Xenopus tropicalis: one gene and its partner. The protein of the gene in region 1 purifies or fractionates together with the protein of each later gene. This does not show direct contact. Links are inferred from orthologs where the notes say so. Each region holds a gene or a part of one and is shown in the gene's direction. Other genes may lie near its edges.

Region 1 (3,826 bases):
GCCTGCAACACTCCTCTCTCCAACTTTGAGTCCCACCAGAACTACAAGGTAACAGGATTTAATATTAACTCTTACAGTAAGGAACAGATTTATCATAGTGTCAATTTAGAGCTCACCATAGTAAAATTCTACCCTTCTCTGTTCATTTCTGTGGGGTTTTTAGAGACATATTTATCAAAGTCAATTCTCGCTTTTACCCATTAATAAATAGGTCTTTACAAATCCCATAGAAACGAATAGAGAGTGATTGCATTTTATTGTTATATTATTTCACACTTTGCTAAATCTGCACCTATGACTTAGACAAATAACATAGAAGGATATCAAAGCACTAAATCTCAGCACACATACAACTATTGGTCTCCAGTGTCCTAAATTACATCTTTTCCGTTGTTAATTTATTTCAGGATGTCCAGGATCCCTCTGTCATTGTCACCTTTCCATTGCTTGATGATTCAGGTGTATCTTTAGTGGCATGGACAACAACTCCCTGGACCCTGCCCAGCAACTTGGCCCTGTGTGTTAACCCAGAGCTGATCTATGTTAAGTTGAAAGGTGAGTCTTTAAGCAGCAGTACCTGTAGATCCTTATTTGGAGTGAGTCCACTCCTGTAATTTCGCCCCTTTATGTTAGCCAAAGCACAGTTCTATTGACTATGATGGCAGCAGTGAGTTGTTTTTGGAGGCCTTACAGTTCTACTTATGAGTTTTGTTTGTCTCCTAGATAAATCCAATGGAAATGTGTATATACTGATGGAAGCCAGGCTGTCTGCTCTGTACAAAGCTGAAAATGAATATGACATTTTGGAAAGGTACAACTACTACTACTACTACTACTACTACTACTACTGATAATAATCATAAACTGCAGGGTTTTGTGATAAATAATTACCAACTTAATATGTAACATTTTCAGGCAATCTTGTATGTGTGTGTACACACACACAGAGAAATGTATTGTTTTATGTTATATCAACTTTAGAGTAGTACAATTTGCATAATTAATAATCTTTTTTGGTTATTAAATAAATATCTTTACATTATTGATTGAATAAGTGTATCTTTAAATATATTTTATAACAGTGGTAGAAAAAAGAGCTTAACTACATGGGAGATTTTGGAGGATGGTGTTGGATCAACTGATTGCAGATTACAAGTTAGGCATAGTTGCATGGGTCAAAATATAGTGGGACTGATCTGATGAGTAAACTACATGGAAGATAATGTAAGCTTGGATACATAGCTTCTTCTATTTAGGTATAGGTTGCAGTTTTTGTTCTTTCCAGAGAACTTTTCTGAAGGCATAGATCTATATTTAGTTTATTTACTTGTTTTTTTTCTCTGGACAGATTTCCTGGCAATAACCTCAAAGGAAAAAAATACAAACCACTGTTTCCCTACTTTGAGAAGGTACATCTCTTGTTATATATGTGTTCTACATGTGTGTTTATCACCACATATTATATTCATACACAGGGTTTACCTTCTATCATTGCTTTCTCTACACCAGGCAGTGCACACTGAGCACAAAGTGTCTTTTGTATTTGTTCAAATAAATACTGCTAGGCGGAAGACAAGGCTGACAGGGCTCTATGCCAGTAGCAGGAAGTTGGTGATGCTTCTGTGGTTGTTAGTGGATTCTCGGGTTCTCTTCAGATTAGTCAAGTAATATAGCAGCAACCATTTCTATGCAAAAAGACTAAGTGGGCCATCATTCGTTTACACATATTTATAGGGGAAATACATGGACATGAACATGAACTCTTACCATTAAATAGGTTATATATGCTTTATACAGCCACAATAGGATTATTTAAATATGCTTTGTTTTACTTCCACAGTACTGTTGTTATCTCAAATTTCATGTTTACTCCTATGTTTTTACAGGCATCAGAAAGAGGAGCATTTACAGTTGTGACTGATAACTATGTGAAGTCTGAAGAAGGCACAGGAGTGGTGCACCAGGCACCTTACTTTGGAGCTGTGAGTAACATTTTTTTTCTAATTAAGGTGCATTATACCACCGATAGCCACTAGGTGGCAGTAAGATATCATGTGTTTGCTGGTGGCTTCAATTCCCGTGATTTATTTTTGACGTCAGCGGGCATATGTTATAGGATCACAGACTCCTAAGAGTAAAAGAATATGATATTGTTTTCTCACACTTCTCTTTTCTATGTAAACCAAGTAAGAGATTGCTTTGAGGGTTTCCTCGACTAACTGCTCTTTTGTACAGTTCGATGTCCAGTGTGCTGTCTCCAGAAACCCTGTTCTGCAGATGTAATGCTGTGACCTAATACTGTACTTCCACAACAAAAGCCTGATTGTTATACCAGTAGGGGCATGATAATCAGTAAAAATACAGCTAATTATGGTTTACGGGGAATAAAGTAAAAAATCGCTCTTTGGTAAACATGCCCCTAAAATCCTGCACAAGTGAAAAAAACTGGGGAGTTCCCCTCTGATGAGCTGAGGTGAATATGCCCCCATGCTGCAAGCAGTGTTTCCCTATTACCGCAATTTATCAAACAAAAAGTTCTTTTGTTTTCCTCATTTCGTTTAATGATTCACCTACTACGTGTTATGAAAAAAGGATATGGACTTAGGAAGGGGACAGTTTGATGAAGAAATATGAGACTTTCTCAAGAACAACTCAACCGACAGTTGCAACCTGGCAGGATTTAAGAAAATTTTTTTTTTTTTTTAAATTGATTTATTTTTTGCATGATTTGCTTGCAGTTCTGAATGGGTTGTCTCCAAAAGTCATGACAAATTAAAACCAATGGCCCAAACCTTTAATGAGGATAAATGCAATGACCTGTCCATTATAGCTGGCCCATATAGCTGTTTTATCCTTTTCTAAGCTATTATGCCAGCTGGACAAACCCCTTTTCCGTACCTTCCATAGCCTGAGAGAGGCCTAATGTAAATGGTCATTAATAGGTTTCCATAGGTATAACTATGGTATACAGGACTGCTGTCCAACTGGAGGCAGTGGGCTGGGTGTGCACTCCAGAGGATTTTTATGGCCCATGTCTACTCAGAGGCTCCATGGACTTCACTGTGTGATTTTTTTTAATTTAATCCAGCACTTGAACATGCTATATGAGAAATAATGTCCCCACTACATATAATAAAATGGACAGCACTGGTAAATGGTATAGGTATGTGGCTTTTTTTTTTTAGTAGTCTGGGTCCACACAAAAGATATCTGAAAATGTGCATGTTGTCCATCAGTTTATATGCTTTTAGCAGTTTTACCCTGCTTATATCATTCATTTGTAAAAACAACGCAACCCTGCCTTTCTTTGTATTGCATTATACAGGCTTTGACTGCTAGTATGACTTAAATAATACTAATTTCTCTTTTTAGGATGATTACAGAGTCTGTATGGATTTCAATATCATCCAGAAGGATTCAGTTCCTGTGTGCCCAGTTGATGCATCTGGCTGTTTCACCAAGGAAGTGACTGACTTTGCAGGACAGTATGTCAAGGTCACAAAATGAATCTGCACCTATGCATGTGTGTGTGTCTCGCTCTCTTCTCCCCACCTTTTTTCCCAATCTCACTCACGTTGTTCTAAAATAGAATATTGCTTGACTAGAGGAAACGGCCAACCTTTGATTATCTGGCCTTTAATGTTCTGGCCCTGTGACGGTACTGATGTAAGGTAACACTTGTAACATACATAATGCTGCCTTCAGAAAATTGAAATGTTAGAATGAATATTAAAATGTTATAACGCCGAAAAACAGATCTCTAGTTTATCACTAGTAAGGGGCATATTTATTATAGTATGTTAGCCAGAATCACCAACGAGGTTGC
Region 2 (4,532 bases), on another chromosome or scaffold:
AGGGGTACAGATATACTGGACCTATATTTATACTTTTTATACTGATTTTTATACTGATATTTATACATAATATTGCCTAGTGCAAATTTTATTTACTATTAAAAAGATTGCCCCTTCTTTCTACATCTACTATTACTCTTATATATATTAACTTAACGATCTGTTTGTTATAAAAAACTTTCCTTGTTTGAACACATGTACCTTTTCCTCAGACTGATTTGTAAATTCATGTCTGATTACCAACTGACCTTTCAGGTTTTTGATTGGTCAATTAAGTCTACATCAGCTAATTAAGTTTGAATAACCATTGGCTCAAGTTGTTTTAAATACGTTGTATGTATCAATTCTCATTCAGCCTATGATTAAGTACCAGGAGGTACGAAACGCGTAAGGCTCTTTGTATCATGTGTTAAATAAAAAGTTTTTTTGATTTTACCTCCACTTCTCATGAACAATTGCTATCCACTAATGATTTGACCGGAGTGCCTGCCTTTTTTCTATTTTTGAGCCGGACCAATAAACCTCACTTTATTTGCATTCAACCATGATGTACTGCCTGTGAATATTTTCGTGAGAATCCTGTGAATGCCGACACTTTTTCGACTATTTAATTTTGCTGCTCTGGCACCCAGGTATTGTACCTAAGATTTTGGTGTGCTCCCCACTCTGCATTCTATATATATATTTAGATATATATATATATATTTAGATATATAGAAATTCAAAGGGGAGCTTCATCCACAGTGAAATAAAGTGATAACCAACTGTTCAACATACATTCATTAAACATTATCAGGGGGTTTCAAGATAATTGTAAATGTTATTTATTTATTATTATCAAATGCAATATTAAATAAACTCTGGACTCTGACTCTTTAAACAATGTTACAAGCCACATAACAGGCCTAGAAAAAAAACCACACTCCTACATTTTTATAAGAGCCAGACCCAGAAAACAAAAAGAGAAAAACAAATACTGCTTATAGTTGCAATAAACTCTTTAATCTCTAATTAATGAATACTTTCTTGGGATAGGTCCCCATGAAAAAAGGTGTAATATCACACTCCTCCACAATTAACAGCTGATTAGAAGGGAAAGGGAACTTTAGCATGTTACTAACACTAGAGCGCCACCTAAAGAAGAAACAAAACGTCGTTCTACAGGTTTAGCCTAAAAGCATTTTAACTTCTGTATTCAAATTTCATCCACCTTCTACTCCCCATAAATTTGATAAAGCAGCACCAACGCAAAAACTATTTTTGATATTAAGCCAGGAACCCCTACCTCTGGCTGTCAAGCTACGGATGATGCAATTTCCACATGGTTGTGGACGTCTCACTGTATGGGAACTATGGGAAATGCCGTTCAAGATGGAACATTATACGAAGTCTAAATGGAAAGCAAAACTACAATGACCAGCGTGCCTTGCGCCCGTAACAGGAAGCTTCCATCTAGGAGCCGGCAACGTGTGTCAAGGAGCTGAGACAGTGTGTAGCTGTGCTTGGGCCTGAGGCTGCTGGGAGAGACTCACCATGACGGTCAGTGTGCTATGGTTATGCCTTTAGTTCGCCTTGTCTTTGGTCGGGATATAGTGGCCACTTAAATGCATGGCAGCGGTCTCGTTTGGAAAGGGGCGGTAGACTACATTAGCACGTCTTACACTGTGTTCATTGGGCATCCCCAGTGCAGCTGTTAACTTGCAACCAGAATTTCTCTATAAATGCAATGAGAGAAGTTTTAAAGGGGAAGTTCACCCCAAAAACTATTTTTGGCATAATGAAAAATTATAACCAACTTTCCAATATACATTATTTGCACCTTTTCAGTGGGTTTCTACTTATTTGAAAGTGTGATTGCCAGGGAAAGCAGCATTTGCTGATCACTTTTTTCCTAGCAGCTGACTGAACCTTAAAGTAGTGTAATAGGAGTCCTCCAGATCTGTTAAGCATCTGACATCTGCTACATTGTTTCAGAAGTCAGACCCAGCAGTGCAAAATATATAAACAGTCGTACAGATCCTGCCTTTAGTAGCATTTACATTTAAAAATAACTTCAAATCCAGTTAACATTTTCTTCAAATACACATATACGGTACAAATATACATAGGAAAGTTTCTTTGAAAACATTTTCCAACATTGTGCTAAAAAAAAAAAATATATTCTGTGGAAGATCCCTTTTCACAATGGCATGTCCAAGAAACACAGTCTCACAGTCTGCAAATGTGTCATTTATCTTAAAAAGAAACAAATTTTAATAACTTATTTTAATAAATGAGTGTCTGGCCGCTTTCACTTGTTATTGGATGCTCAGCATGGGCTTCTGAAAGTTGTAGTTCAAGACTGAATCTATAATAAATATAAACACTGCACTTAGATTTACAATTGTCACCCTGATGGATCCGTTTGCTCTGTATGGTGCCAGTTCATTATTATTATGCAGGCAGCTGTATCCCTGGGCAGTGGGGATATAGCTGCTTCTTTTATTATTTAGCTTTTTCACTTTTTTGTTGCTGTTTGCTAGGGATGTTAATAATATAATCATTTAGTCAATGAGATTCATTAATTCTAGAGTCACTGATAACTAGGAAGTATTTTAAATCCAAACTTTACTAGAGGCAGAGTATAAGAGTAATAACAATAAATAAAACAACCCAGGTCAGATGTGCTTGCACCTACAACTTAAAGTTCATTTAAGGTGTCCTCCTCATTTTAATATAGGGCAATTGTCCTATATGAATATACAGCCCAGTTAGTGTGGTTTATGTGCCTGCTTCTTGACCAAGGGAGACTTTATCTCCCTAAAGCTGGCCATACACGCACCGATACTATCGTAAGAAACCTCGTTTCGTACGATATTCGGTGCGTGTATGGCATGTCGGCGAGTCGACCGATATCGCAGGAAGCTGCTGATATCGGACGACTCGCCAATCGGGCGCCATAGAAGGCGCCTGACCAAAATCTGCCGTCAGGGCTGAATCGGCAGAAGGAGGTAGAAATCCTATTGTTTCTACCTCCTTATCTGCTGTTTCAGCCTTGACTGTGTGTGGCGGATCTGGCGATGTTTCGAAACATCGTCAGATCGCCACGTGTATGGCCAGCTTAAAACTTGCATCTTTTCAAGAAACGTACTCTGTTCCACCCTGCCTTGTGTCCAGGAAACAGGAGCACATTGTTTACAAGATTGTTATATGGAATATGGGAACATAAATTCTTAAAACAAAATTTCTGTGTCCAACCCCAATATAACATTGTGTGGCTTTCATTAAAGTGAGGAGGAGTATTAATAGAAACAGTAGTCTGAGACAGTGAACTCAAACTAGCTACACTAGATCAGTTGACCCAAAGATAGCTTGCTGATCACACTCAAAAGGAGAACATATAGAAATGTTCTAAGATCTGTTTGGAGGCTTTGTGCTTTTATTATTTTTTTTTCTTTTAATGCAGGGGTCTCTAACCTTTCTTACTCATGAGCCACAGTCAAATGTAAAAAGACTTGGAGAGCAACACAAGCACCATAAAAGTTCATGGAGGTGCCAAATAAGGGCTAAGATTGGCTATTAGGCAGCCTCTATGCACACTATCAGCTTACAGGGGGCTTTATTTGGTAGTAAATCTTGTTTTCATTCAACAAAAACTTGCCACCAAGTCAGGAATTAAAAAATAACTACCTGGTTTGGGGGCACCGAGAGCAACATCCAAGGGGTTGGTGAGCAACATGTTGCCCCTGAGCCACTGGTTGGGGATCTCTGTTTTAAGGTTAAAGAGCAGTATTTATCATAGCAATAAAAATAGCGGTTTGTGTTAAGTTCAGCATAAGCAGGAAACCTGTAACAGAACATAAAACTATGGAGGAGCAATATTTTACATTTTGTAAGGCCCTGTGTCCCAGGATACTTGTTGAGGGGCCACAATAACGACTAGGTGTTTCTTAGTAACATAGGGAATATTTGCTTTCTCCTATTGGACAGCACCAGAGCAATATATCTAACTGCAGGTTTTTTGGCTGGGGCAATTGCTGTTAATTCTACCAGATTACACTCTGGCACACTGCGTGTGGCTAAAATTGTTTTATAGTAAAAAGGCTATAACCTGGCAAATGTTCTTAGCAATACAGGAGTTACCTCTTTTTAGCCAGCTGAAACATTTCTTCTGTGAAGTGTGCATCACCATTGTAGATAGGCAGGATAATTTGTAAGTATTTTGTAAGACTGAATATTAAATCTTTCTTGGGCATTATGGCAGTAAGGCACACTGGAACGCGGGCTTTTGTTTACTATTAAATTATAGGTTTGCATCACGTTTTATTAGGGCTTATACTACATAGTCATGCATATTTAGTGTGTGGCATAACTGTCCTCTAATACTTATAATTTCTGTTAAAGGAGCGAAAAGGAACAGCTAAAGTTGATTTCCTCAAGAAGATTGAAAAAGACATACAGGAAAAATGGGATGCTCAGAAACTATTTGAAGTCAATGCTTCTGATTTGCAGGCTCAGAACAGGTAGATTGCACTTGCTTTAAATATAGCGTT

Evidence for each region.
Region 2: the proteins of iars1 (region 1) and lars1 purify together in Homo sapiens (affinity purification with mass spectrometry; 7 studies listed by BioGRID and IntAct, counting the BioPlex papers as one, with this or other methods). This does not show direct contact. The link is inferred for Xenopus tropicalis from reciprocal best matches to the Homo sapiens genes IARS1 and LARS1.

Annotation. Positions count from the first base shown.
Region 1 is NC_030680.2:124,224,959-124,228,784, forward strand, and holds part of iars1 (isoleucine--tRNA ligase, cytoplasmic), read left to right. Parts: coding exon 1-48; intron 49-407; coding exon 408-555; intron 556-723; coding exon 724-811; intron 812-1,348; coding exon 1,349-1,409; intron 1,410-1,886; coding exon 1,887-1,982; intron 1,983-3,372; coding exon 3,373-3,495; intron 3,496-3,826. UniProt on the Homo sapiens protein: Catalyzes the specific attachment of an amino acid to its cognate tRNA in a 2 step reaction: the amino acid (AA) is first activated by ATP to form AA-AMP and then transferred to the acceptor end of the tRNA.
Region 2 is NC_030679.2:39,733,124-39,737,655, reverse strand, and holds the start of lars1 (leucine--tRNA ligase, cytoplasmic), read left to right. Parts: upstream 1-1,519; 5' UTR 1,520-1,533; coding exon 1,534-1,539; intron 1,540-4,383; coding exon 4,384-4,502; intron 4,503-4,532. UniProt on the Homo sapiens protein: Aminoacyl-tRNA synthetase that catalyzes the specific attachment of leucine to its cognate tRNA (tRNA(Leu)).